Linked DNA regions of Mytilus edulis. The protein of the gene in region 2 purifies or fractionates together with the protein of the main gene of each other region. This does not show direct contact. Links are inferred from orthologs where the notes say so. Each region holds a gene or a part of one and is shown on either strand. Other genes may lie near its edges.

Evidence for each region. The genes of interacting proteins can lie anywhere in the genome.
Region 1: the proteins of gamma-tubulin complex component 2-like (region 2) and gamma-tubulin complex component 3 homolog fractionate together in Drosophila melanogaster (co-fractionation; 3 studies listed by BioGRID). This does not show direct contact. The link is inferred for Mytilus edulis from reciprocal best matches to the Drosophila melanogaster genes Grip84 and Grip91.

Annotation. Positions count from the first base shown.
Region 1 is NC_092346.1:89,142,739-89,149,873, reverse strand, and holds the start of gamma-tubulin complex component 3 homolog, read right to left. Parts: upstream 3,041-7,135; 5' UTR 3,034-3,040; coding exon 2,886-3,033; intron 1-2,885. Other genes in the region: phospholipid-transporting ATPase IF-like, read left to right, coding at 7,060-7,074.
Region 2 is NC_092353.1:16,591,196-16,598,579, forward strand, and holds the start of gamma-tubulin complex component 2-like, read left to right. Parts: upstream 1-4,321; 5' UTR 4,322-4,421; intron 4,422-7,340; 5' UTR 7,341-7,369; coding exon 7,370-7,384. Other genes in the region: transmembrane protein 138-like, read right to left, coding at 703-874, 2,176-2,300.

The sequences.
Region 1 (7,135 bases), on a different chromosome or scaffold from region 2:
TTGTTGAATTAATAACTTAAAAATAATATTTAGGTAACATTTATAATGATACAAGATAAAGAGAAAAAAATCCTGGGGTGTTCAGTGGTGGAAAGACCTACCTTCTACATAGTATGTCCTTATTATCTACAAAGTTTCATGAAATTCTGTTGCATGGTTTCAGAGGAGTTGCGATGACAAACTGTTGCAGTAGTATATTGAAGCAAATAAATTCAAAGGGGCATAACTCCTAGAAAACAATTAATCGTAATTTCCTGTCGATATGCACATCTATATAGTATGTCCTTATTATCTAAAAAGATTTCATGAAATTCTGTTGAGTGGTTTCAGAAGAGTTGCGATGACAAACTGGTGTAGTATATTGAAGCAAATAAGTTCAAAGGGGTGTAACTCCTAGCAAAAAATTGAATCATAATTTCCTGTCAATATGCACATCTACTTATTATGTCCTTATGTAACATAAAATATTGTCCTCCATGATATATTGTCTGTCGGACAAATTTTCATATAAAATATTGTCCACTGACAGTATTTCATAATGAAATATTGTCTTGGACACAATATTTCATTATGAAATAGTGTCCTTATCCATGACATTTTGTCACCTCCTTCGGGACAATATTTCACTATGAAATTCTGTTCATGACAATACTTCACTATGAAATACTGGCTTTGAAAATATTTTTTAATCAAATTATTTCACAATTAGAAATAGTTCACATTGAGCATGCACATTTTTAGATTTATAACCGAAATTGTTTTGTATAGTAGAGAATTTATATGATTGTTAATAGTGAGTTTCAAATTTGCATAGATACATGTACATTACAAATGGTTAATTATAGATTAAAGTATTGTCTAACAAAAGTTTCATTTTATTACATTAAACTGTACAAATATAAGTTATGTACTGACAATCGCTTATTTTGTAAATATAAACACAGGTATGTGTCGCAGAAAAAAATCCTATTTACCTTCTCTAACATAAATATATGTTGATAACCTCCCTTTCATGAGACAAAATTTAATGACAATCTGTCTATGAAATATTGTCTCAATACTCATAAAATATAACCAAAATATATATAACCTCCCATTAACAGGACACAATTTCGTAGTATTTATCTATGAAATATTGTATTAATTCACACATTGATATTGATATGATGGGCTACGCTAATTACTAAATTTTACCTGGGGAAAAGATTATGACTTTGTTTACCACCCCAAGCTAATCAATGGTTACAACTGGTGTCATAATCTGTTGTTATAGGTAATCCGTTTATCGGATGGGTCATTAATGATCATCAAGATTAATTCGTTCAAATAGAATCGGTCAGTCGGCAATTATCTTTGAAGAAATGTGCATACAACAACTTGGGCACAATTTGCGATGTTTACCGTAGTTTCATGGAAGAAACGTAATGACAGAAAGTTGGAAAACCATTATAAACTCGTTGAAGACATTGTTTTACTTGTTTTCTGTAAAATAAACAGAAAATTCAGACGTATTTGTCATTGACTGCCTTCATTTTTGATACGAAAATATCAAAATCGGCCGCCATATTGTGATCATATTTACATCATATTTACGTACTGTTTATAATCCTCCAAAGAAGGAGCACACCCGAATAAAGAAAGATAACTCAATCTGATTTTTTTCCTAGCATTGAGTAACCCATTTACATATTCTAAAATGTGTCTCCATACTTCTTGCTTAAGAATATATATGTTTAGGTATTTATTTTGAGTTATGGGAAAAGTTAAAGAGGGTCTTAGCAGCAGTGTTGGTAGGGTGCCTTGGTCATCTTTTTCTGTATTCTTTATTTTTGATACTATTTTTCACTGTTGCTTTATATCCTTAAATTGTGAATTTACTGAGCACAGCTGTTTTGTGCTGTATTGCCATCAAGCACAGCAGGGGTAGAAAGGTGAAACTGGTCAAATGTGGTAGACCATAGAAACAGTATGAAACAGATCTCCTTTCAAAACATACTGCATATAAAGTTCAACTGTGCCAAGCAATGATAAAAAAAACTTGTGTGACAAGCTGCTTGACAAGTTTTTCAGCCTTAAAAGTAGAAAGATAGAGTTCTATATGGGCTAAAGATGTTGTTCTTGTATAACCTGTGATTCAACGAATAAACACAAATGTTTGATTAACATCTTTTATTAAAATATGCCCTTTTCATATTATGATATCGCGCGTTAAATGCCCTTTTTCAGGATTGGCACCCTGCCCTTTTGAAAACCTAGCTGGAACACTGGATTTCACTATGCAAATTTGTCCTTCTCTGGACATTTTTCCATAGACGAGGACAATATTTCATGATACATAGTTATGAAATATTGTCTTGTACAATATTTCATAGGACAATATTTTGCTTTACACTTACAAATGTATGACATGTATTATCTAAAAAGGTTTCAAGAAATTCTGAATTTCTGATGTGTGGTTTTAGAGGAGTTGCAATGACAAGAAACAGGACTGACAGACCGAGTCGGTGACTGACAGACAGACTGGTCAAAAACATTATACCCTTCACAACTTCGTTGCATGGAGTATGATTATCACAAGGACCTACGAACTGTAGTCTGTACCCTTGCAGATCTATAAAGAGGGTGTTCAGATAAATTCATTATTAATTGAGGGATCAACATACATTTGAATGCATTTTTAATGTTGCAAAAATCACGATCAAATACTAATACTCTTTCACAAATATTAAACACCTGCCTTATATTATCGATATATTTATATCAATACAGTTTCAATAACGACAAAAATGTGGACACACATTCATGCAATAACAAAATATTTGGTGCATGTCTGAGGATGTTTGATGCCAGACCTTTTGAAGATAACACTGAACATGTTTATTTACCCTCAGGAAGGCCTGTTATTTTACAACAAAGTTTCTGTAACAATAATGTCTCAGTTTCATTTGTGCCCCTCCTATCCATAGCACAAAAAGTGCCAGATATTGACCATTTGCAAGAGGATTGTTTTGCCGCGCTACGGGCAATGCGCATGAAATGTAAAGTTATTTTGTATTTTCGAATGAAAAGAAAGAAAAAGGAAAATTTTAATTTCACCAAATTTGTTTAAAATAATCTTTTTAAATGAGCAACGAATCATAGAAAATTGTGAGCAAAATAATGATACGAAACTATCCGAAAAAATTGTGAAGGGGTGGTCTCAAAATACAAAATGAACCGTATTCATATAAAGGAACATTTCTATATGTGAGTTCGTGGTCTAGTGGTTTTAAGACCGATGGCTACAGTGCTGAAGGTCCCGAGTTCGATTCTCACTCGGGGTGCTAAAAATATCAGTACATCAGAAGGGTAATTTTCACCCTCTCACACACATCTCTGGTACCCAGACCGGAGTTTAAACTAGAATGGGTACTTTGGGGGCCTCGGTTGGTCAAAGTTGTTCCCTACTTTGACCTGGAGATCAATCTTCTGATATCTCTCTGGTTTGTCTGTTTCCACCGAGCGGCCCGGTGGTTCTCTCCGAGTACTTCGGCTTCCTCCATCATAATAACAGACTTCCCGGTGTCCTACACGCTCCCTTGGGCGGTGTTGGGTGGGGATTGTTCTGGTGGGATAATATTGTAAAGGACACATCTCCATTAATCCTTAGGGAGTGTACATGGATCCGCTGTACCCTTGCAGTCAATCAAGGGGTGCGTCTTAATTGGCGGAATCTCAGTACATACATACATACATACATACATACATACATACATACATACATACATACATACATACATACATACATACATACATACATACATACATACATACATACATACATACATACATACATACATACATACATACATACATACATACATACATACATACATACATACATACATACATACATACATACATACATACATACATACATACATACATACATACATACATACATACATACATACATACATACATACATACATACATACATACATACATACATACATACATACATACATACATACATACATACATACATACATACATACATACATACATACATACATACATACATACATACATACATACTTTTTGTAGGTTGGGTGAGGTTTCGCGCTTTTAAAAACGTTTAAACCCGCTGAATTTGTTTGTATCTGTCCTAAATCCGATTGCAGGAATCTACATATTGTTCATTGGTAGTCGTTTGTTGATGTGGTACTTACTGTTTCTCGTTTCTTGCTTTTTATATAGATTAGATAGAGGGGGCAATATGGGATCCATTAACATGTTAACTTAGGCGCGGATCCAGGGGGAGGGGTCCGGTGGTTGGAATCCCTTTTTTTTGGACGATCAATGCATTTGATGGGGACATATAGTTGCTGGATCCGCCCCTGTAACAACACCTCGATTTTGAGAAAAACAGTTAACAACAAATGCAAAAGTGCCGATAACAGTTAACACAGTGGGTTGAAAACGCTTAACAGTTTAAATTTATCTCAGATAACAGTTTACAACACAGCCTTGAACAAGAATGTGTCCTCAGTACACGAATGCCCCACTCGCACTATCATTTTCCATGTTCAGTGGACCGTGAAATTGGGGTAAAAACTCTAATTTGGCATTAAAATTAGAAAGATCATATCATAGGGAACATGTGTACTAAGTTTGAAGTCGATTGGACTTCAACTTCATCAAAAACTACCTTGACCAAAAACTTTAACCTGGAGCGGGACAGACGGACGAACGGACGGACGGACGAACGGACGCACAGACCAGAAAACATAATGCCCCTCTACTATCGTAGGTGGGGCATAAAAAGACCAAAACTGGCCAAGTTAACATAAAAAGGAATTGCCCCCCCCCCCCCTTTTCCCCATTCGACCGTGGCCCGGGTTTTTTTTCAGATTGAATTGTTTTGGGAAATAGGTCAAAGAGACCAACAACCGGCCAAATATACACATGCTTCCAACACTCTGGTTTGTCTGTTTCTCAGGAGTTTTAAAAATGCTTTAACTTAGAATATATGCTTATCATTGAAAAAAACGTACTTCGCAAACGTGTCGACAGAAAAGAAATACACACTGTACGAAGGTTCAAGAGGAACATCCCAATAAAAAAAAAGATATCAACAATAGGGAACGAAAAGGGGTCTCTTGTAAAAAGTAAAGTATATGGTTTCACGTGTGAAACTGTAATTTAAATCAAGAAAAAGACAATGACAGTCGTTTCTGTGCATGCATGTGTAGTGTAGTTTTTGTGGTAAATAGTAAGTATATAATTTTTATTCAAAGCAGAAACAATACTTACTAGAAGCCTGTATAAAACGATATTTGACAGTTTTTGTTTTGTTTGTGCTGCCAATACATATTAGGGACCTGGTCTGAAACGTGCAAAAATTAAACGAAAATAAAATATATCAAGCAGTTTTTTTTTCTTTTCTCATTTGCATTGTTCCAGTTTCTTTACTTTTCTATGTAGTGTTTTGTGAACTAGTTTGTCTTTCGACGTCTTTCATTTGTTTTTGTTTATAATTCATATCAAAGTATTGTTAGCTGTTCTTAATTATCAATAAAATTTATTTTTTATGTAGCTCCTCGACGGTCTGAAATTTGTACACATTAAGGTCGTGTCCGGTCTTGATGTTAATATTGATTATATAATGTCACGTCCTCGAAGATGGGAATCACTTATAATTTCTGAGAATAACTTATTAACTGGTTCTAAAATAAAATACAGCTTGACGATGGTATCCGGTCGTGTTATGATACATAATAATTGCATGGGTATATAGTCTTATTTTCGTGGTTGGTTTCTCAGGACTTATCTAACCACCATTCAAATAATCTGATAAAAAGTGCGAGTAACTGAGGATGGTATGTTGTTACAGGTTTCAATAGCTCTTTGTGTGTATGAATATTTGTCTGATTTGAAGTCTTGAGTGTGTCTTGTACAAGTTATATATATTTGTGGTCTCTTGTTGTTGAATTTTCTCTAGTTCTAAAAATAATTGGATACGTCTCTTAATACTTACCGGTAAGGATAGAGCTCAATCATATTTCCTTTCATTTATTTGCTTATTTTGCTATTTTTTATTTTCTATTTTCTGATTTTCTGATTAACTGTAAATATCAATGTTCCGCGTGTCACCCCATTTTCCAAATTAAATGAAAATATCGCAAAAAAAAGTGAGAAACGATGACATGCGATTTCAGTTAAAATTGGTAATTTTATTGTTCGTAATTGCTGTTCATATGTCATTTGTGAAAAAAAATAGTTGTTGTATACTAGCTCTCTCCTTTTGGGCATTTTAGTTCGATTTTTTTTTTATGATAAAATGCTTATATATAGATATAGAAAGATGTGTTCGACTTCTTTTTTATAACCACATAGTATCCCCCCTTTTTTATAAGTTGTTACAATTCAGTATTTAGCCGCAGTTATCCACATATACTCTTTGTTGTTTTATAAGGTATTTTGTTTTTATAATACCGTTCGCGACCTTTTTCTGGAATCAGATTTCACATCTTGTCTGATGACTCACTTTCCTTTCAAACTTATTAAGATGATTCTTTGACATATCTAATAATGAGGGGAGGATGGTTTTGTTGCTTTAATTCTTCCATTTTCCCTATTTTCCTCTGTCATGTAATGGTATCTGGTAGGTTTTTTTGTGTTTTTTTTTGTGTGTACTCATTTCTGATATATCTGGTATGGTTAGGCCTACGGAAACTGGATGGATGGTTTTTAACTGTTATCCAAGATGTTCTCTTACGGGTTTTGCAATTAATAATTTTGAGTATAATTATTTAAAGGAATTGTATATTTAAATATGCAATTCCTGGATGGATACTGCATACTCGGTGTTTTGAAACGGTCCCTAAAGCAGACGTCTCTGTTCGTTCGGAAGTTCTCTAGATATTTCTACCTAATTGTACACGAAGTGAAAGCAAAACAGGACGTAACAAAAATATGTTGTTTACCTTTAGAAGTGGAAAGCCCAAAGTAGGCTAGAGGTGTATTTGAAATTTGGACAGTAAAGTTTTTACATGGGTGCGGGTGTTACGTGAAAGAATGAATGATTGCTTTGTAAGTATCACACTGTTTATATTTATGAACAATTAGAAGTTGGAACAGTTTGAAAATTCAC
Region 2 (7,384 bases):
AACAACATATTAAAATTAGTGAAGCCTTTGGTAGAACAGTTCATGTGTAAATGCACGGACACGACTGGAAACTTCATTTTTCAATCTTTCAAGAACCATAACTCCTGAACGGTAAAAGTCAAAATCGCCATTATTGAACTTGACCTCCAATTTGACATCAGTAACAACATATTAAAATTTGGGAAGCTTTGGTAGAACAGTTCATGCGTAAATGCACGGACACGACTGGAAACTCCATTTTTCAATCTTTCAAGAACCATAACTCCTGAACGGTAAAAGTCAAAATCGCCATTATTGAACTTGACCTTCATTTAGTTGTCAGTAACAACATATTAAAATTTTAAAAGCTTTGGTTGAACGGTTCATGAGTTTATGCATGGACAACATTTGATTGTCGCCCGCCTGCCCACCGTACAAAGGCGTACATCCCCAATTCAATAACCGACATTTTTGTCACAAAAATCTGGTTAAAAATTCCCAACTGTATCTTGTATATCTTTTTAAAGTCTGTGGTTTAAAATCTCTCCATTTCTATTAAATAAGAAATAAATGCAATTATAATTGAAAAATCTGCAAATTTTTCTTTCAAAATAAAATCTGAAATATTTTTTTTGTTTCTTATTTTTTATTTCCAGTTTTGTTTAATTTTGATTTAAAACATTTGGAACATATTCTATAATCAAAGTATTCTTCATAGCGTACCATTTCCCAGACATGGAGTCCAACATTCAATCCAAAGTAGGCAAATGTCACCATAATTCCTACTTTGAATTTATTTATGAGTATGTTTACTAATCCTGCTTGGAAGATGTATGTGTTGAAAAACAACAGAAAAACTACTATCACAGCAAATATAATACAAACATCCTGTATTCTGAAAAATAAAATAAAACTACTAAGACTCTAAATTCAATATTTTCTTAAACATGTTTGACATCTTTTATACTTATACATTTGTCTTTTTATTTATCTCTGTAAACATATGATTTTAAATACAACTGTGTACTTTTGGAATGTTTCATTACTGATGACTACAATTTATTTGTACCTTTATGATCAAAGGGTCAACATGTATGTCAATTCAACAAATTCACCCAAAACAGAAGAATGTGTCTGAATGGACAGACAGGACAAACGGGACATAAAAGAAAATGACCCCTCTCCCAATTTTTGTTGTTGAAAAAACAGCAATTCTGAGAGGGATTTTGAGCCTTACTTTATCTGACCTGTGTACATGTTGTATAATTCTTGACTAACATTATAATAGACAATTATGGCCTGTTAAAAAGGTGAATATATATATCCAAAATTGTCAACTCGAAAGGTTATTTCAATGAGGGCACAGCCCGAAGTGAAATATCTTTTAAGGGTTGACAATTTTGGATATTCATCGATTCTAAGGGGCCACAATTGTTGTATTATCCCGAACTAGCAGTGGAAAGGCCTTTCAACAAGCTGACGTTTGAAAATATATTTGTGTTCTAGAATTTATACAACAAATGTAGAATCTTTTTGTAAATATTGATGGTCCTAAAAAGGCGATCGTTAGGTGCTGGCAATCTATTCATGTCCAATGCTTTATTTCCTCGTCTGTCTGTGGGATTCCAGTGTAACGTGAACTCTGCCATTTTGTTTATTTACGTCTGTGTAATCATTTTCATGGGAGATAATTCAAGTACAAATCAAGAAACTCAAAAGGTGATTAAATAGTCCTTCTTGCGATTGAATGAAAAATAACTGAATTATTCCATGTCACATGATAATGTTTCACCCAATACTATAGAATTGTTTAAAATATATGTAAGGTATAATAATGTAATATATAATCAAGATATTTGAAAATGAAAATTTTATAGAGGAGGCATGAGAAAATAGCATTATCATAAATACTAATAATTTTTATCTTTTATCAATGCAACATGTTTGTATTGTTTTCTGTCTAATGTTTTGTTATTTATATGTTTGTTTGTTTGTTTATTTAGTTACCACCCTATTGTTTGGATATAAGAATAATAAAAATCTTGTTCTTATAATTCTTATAATATGAATATTATATGAATATAAATCAATACAGAAAAATGAATATTCTTGAAACATATTGATTTTCAAAAATTTCTAAAATACTCCCTCTCTGCAATTTCTCTCTAATAATCCTGTTTCCTTTCATAAACTTACACAAACAAAACTAGCAAGATGACATTCTCAAATCTCAGCATTTCTATAAATGAGTTCATAACAATATCTATAAGCAACAAGAAATACTGCAGATACAGTATAGGGCGATATCTTTCAACCTGCATGGTGATTGGTTGGCTTTTCCTCTCTCAAAATGAATAGGTTATAGTCTTGACCAGTTCATTGTTATATATGCTTCTTGAGTTCTTTCCTGCAAAAAATAATGTATGTAAATCAAAATAATTTAGAGCAATGATTTAGAGGAACTGATTAACATATCAAGCAATACATGTACATTTGTAGGACGTAGGTAGACTAGCAAACAACAAGTTGAACAGTGAGCTAAGAGCATGATACCACACTATATTTATTGGTAAAAAGGATGTTAATGAGTGATGATTTTGTAAATGAAACACACAGTAAAGCATGCTGACATGTGGTTTGATTTCATAGTGTCTTGGTTTGTTATGCCATTGAAAAATGCAATGCAATTACTCCTCATAAAATTTGAAAAATAAATTCCTCACAAAAATTTATCGTTTTCCAGTATTTCACACGAATTTGATCATGATAAGCTGTAAATGTAAAAAAAGTATCATTGATGTTGTGATCCAGTCAATTGTTAAGCTAGTTTTCTGACTATAGTACTAGTATACAAAGGGCTGCTGGATCATCAAAAATATTTTGAGGCTCACGGTACAGTAGCATCATATCAGCCTAGGGAGAAAACTTTCCTTGTGAGCCCAAGTTAATATGAGTGGGTCGTCTTTGCCCGGAATAGTGTACCTTACATTATCCATGAACTAGTGTATTGCCTATTGAATTCTAGTAAAATCGGCACTTGGTTAAATCGGCACCTGGTCAATTCGGCACCCAGTATAGTCAAATTGGCACCTGGTTAAATTGGCATTGATATAGTCAATTCGGAACCTTAGATTTGTTTAATATATATTTTTAACAGTATTTTAAGCAAAAACAGTAAAAATAAGGAATGGGTTGTCCAGAAATTTTACAGTATTTACCCAAGAAGAGGTAGATAAGGTAGGGGTTGGCCAGAAATATTAACCTAATTTTATCATGTTTATTCACATTTTTAAGGGTTGAATTTTATTCATGTTATTTCTATATATTAGTGAATGCCTAATTGACTTTAAATAGGTGCCGATTTAACCAGGTGCCGATTTGACCTGGTGCCGATTTTGACTTGTACCCTTGCCTATTGGGGGGTCAACTTAATATCACCTAGTCCGGAATCGTAATTCTCATGCTCTGCAAATTGTCAAAAAGACCTACATGTAAGACTAAGAGCTACACTAGTCTGCACTACAGGTAAATGTAAAATGCACTCCATCTAACAGTTTTAATGTAGTAATAAATAACTTGCAATGAATAAATACTCTACTACAACGTAACATATACATCAAAGGCAAAACATTATAAAACTTTAAAAAGTGAAATATTACAATTTATATGAGCGCAAAGTTACATATCCGCAAATACTCAAAAATAATATCTACAAAATGCAAGTATATCATATTAAACATGTTAAATAAAATAAATAAATTCATTAATAATAAATGGAAGAAACCAAACAATTTGGAATCACACTTAAAAATCTAACAAGAATCACACCCATGACCTTTCGCAATGTAGCAATCAGTCGTAAGTAGTAGACCACAAACCAACACTGAAAGTACCTTTCAGCTTCCAAATCTGTTTGTTGTTGATCATATTTTTTTAATTATTTTTTTTCTAATTCAAATTTCTAGCAGAAGACTGCAGTGTCGGTACTACTACTAGCAATTTGTCTTTCTTTTTTTAATGAACATGAATTATATGTGTCTGTTAAAGAGATACAACTACAGTGTACAAATATGTGAGATATGCTGTGTTAAAATTACATTTTAGCTCACAAATGGAACATGTTCTTGTTCGTCCATTTTTGTTTACAGTGACTACGTAGTATCGCATAACTTCGCAAAGTCTCGTTTCTTTCATTTGCTTCTTTTCCCATTACTTACCATTTAAAAATATAAAGAATAGTATTTTCACATCATTTTAATCTGTTGGAATTCATGTTAAACATGGGTAACAATATAAACCTTACAAAATCAAGGAAAATGTGCAGGTAAAAAATGTCACATGATTCATACAACGAGATCCAAGATGGAAGACACTACGCGGGAAGAAAAGAAATGTCAAACCAAAACACGATTTCTTTAAATTTGTAACTTAGATAGAGCTTTGTAAGAATTTAATGACACAATTTGAAAAACTATAGATTTGATACATGTAAACGTCGTGAAATTATGTGGAAATCAAAGGCACTTAGACATGAACCTCTGGTTTTTCTTTATCTTTCTGACTTTGTTTTTGTTTATTTATTGTAATAAATTTATATACAAACTTTTTATTGAAGGAATCTGTATCATTCATGTCTCCAAATGACCCCTTTCCTGCTTCCCCCATGGTAGATACTTTAAAGGTCGTAGTCGCACCGTTGTGCACCCATATCGGTAGTTCTCTTCTATATAGATATCTTCATATTTCCGCACTCAGTCACAACTTTGACTATTACGTGCTGTATCACCACCAAACACCACCACACACCGCCGAACACCACCGAAAATCCCAAAAGTTTATTATTTTGTCTTTTAACGTTATAAATGTGACTTTATTATAACTTTCAAGTTATTAATTCAGCAAATCAGAAGATTAAGAGTCCAAATATCTATAGAAAACAGAAAGGGAGAGTCTATAACACCCCACTTTTTGAACTCCGCAGACCCCTATGGACACCTCAAATATTTGTTTTTCCATTTTTTTCTTCGTCTATCTCTTCTATAAAATAGTTGTACCAACAATAAGAGTATATGTACCGGTATTACATTTATGATCTAACCGAGAACAGAGATCGAAGATACTTCAACTGATTACTAATTACGAACATGATGAATATATTTGAATTTTATTATTTTAACAGTCAGGGGACTTACTTAAACAAGTGATTTTCTAAATCACTGATTCAAGTAACATTATTTCCATAAAGGTTGGAAGTTAGAGTTGTCTTTCTTTAATAATCACCTATTTAAGTAGTACAAATAAATCACTAGAAGAAGTGATTTAATATTAGTGTAGCTTTAAATATAGAATACTAATGATCCAGGGACTAATTATGTTTCTAAACTTATCAGAACCAACATCTGTGTTGTCTAGGATGACCAGGTCATTTCAGGTGATGACCTTGTACTGAATCTAGGATAATGACATAAAAATCACTTGTTTAAGTATCAGACCTTAATTTCCTTCCCAAAAATCACTTCTTTAAGTATCATTCTTTTAATAACCCCCACTAATTTCAACACCCCCGAACAGTGAAATTTTTATCGCGAACAGTAGAATTTTATTACATAATCTGAAAGATGAAACCTTGAACTTCACAGGAAAAATACTCCCACTGCTGTGAAAAATCTTTGAAGAAAGTATCAGTTCATTATGTAAAGCCATTATTATAGCATTTTTTCAACTAAAATAGAATTTTCAGGTAAATGATAGCATCAAAGGCATAAAACTTGCTACTTAAAAGAAGCAAAAAGTTCATATTTTTTAATTTTACTAATTAAAAGATGTTATTTAAACCTATGTGTTTAAAATTTTGAAAAAACTACAAAATCCCAATTTGTGACAAAACCTCGAATTTGCTACTCAAATAAGTGATTTAAAAATCACTTATTTCAGTAAGTCCCCTGACTGTTTAATAACACACACAATGTTATGTGGAAAGTTATGAATCTGGAGATGTTTTTTTTCTTCTCATATTGGTAATCGATTTTAACATAAAATAATGCCAATAAAATTCTAAAAATTGTTTAATTATACGTAATTTAATTTGTTTTATTGTATAGTATCACAGTTTTTCTTAGTGGTTGGTGGTTTTTGGAGTGTTTGGCGGCGTTCAGTGGTGTGCGGTGGTGTTCGGTGGTGTAACATTTTTATTTAAATCAACGAATCCTGAAGTGGATTGTTCTTTTTAATCTATGAATTTATTTGTATTGCATGTACTGAACATAGATTAATTGTAGAAGATCTACTTGCTTGCAACAAACCTATCACTGATATGAGTTCCCTTGCCTGTCTATCATACCCTCTTTTCCCAGTGGCATTTTTATACCCCCGCTTTGAAAAAAGGGGGGTATACTGTTTTACCTCTGTCTGTCCTTCCGTCAGTCCGTCTGTCCCATGAATATTTTTCGTCGCATTTTTCTCAGGAACTACAATATAAGGATTTCTGAAATTTTGTTTCAAGGTTTATATAAGTATGCTATACCGTGTGATGCATTTTCAGATTCATCACTCAACAACTTCCTGTTTACCGAACACTTGTACTATTTTACACATGATAACCAAGTCGAAAATTTTCGTCACATTTTTCTCAGGAACTACAATACAAGGATTTCTGAAATTTGGTTTCAGGATTTATACAAGTCAGCTATACCGTGTGATGCGTTTTCAGATTCATCACTCGACAACTTCCTGTTTACCGAACACATGTATTATTTTACACATGATAACCAAGTTGAAAATTTCCGTCACATTTTTCTCAGGAACTACAATACAAGGATTTCTGAAAATTTGTTTCAAGGTTTATATAAGTATGCTATACCGTGTGATGCGTTTTCAGATTCATCACTCAACAACTTCCTGTTTACCGAACACTTGTACCATTTTACACATGATAACCAAGTTGAAAATTTCCGTCACATTTTTCTCAGGAACTACAATACAAGGATTTCTGAAATTTGGTTCACGATTTATACAATTCAGCTATACCGTTTGATGCGTTTTCAGATTCATCACTCAACAACTTCCTGTTTACCGAACACTTGCATATTTTTACACTATTAAAATTATCCACTTGCGGTGGGGGTATCATCAGTGAGCAGTAGCTCACAGTTTCACTTGTTATTTTTATTATTTCCTATTTGCAAAACCAAAATACTGCATATCTTTGTTCATTAACCATATAGAGTGTTGTAAGAAAATAATCTAAAATCCCTAAAATTTATTGAGCAAAATTGTTTACACATGTACCATACTTTATCATGTTTTTAATAGTTGCCAGCCTTTAGTGATGAGAAATTAATTGTGTTATTTTTATCTTGCAGTTCAGTTTTTGCAAGAAAAAGAAGTGAAAATGAGTGAATTCAAG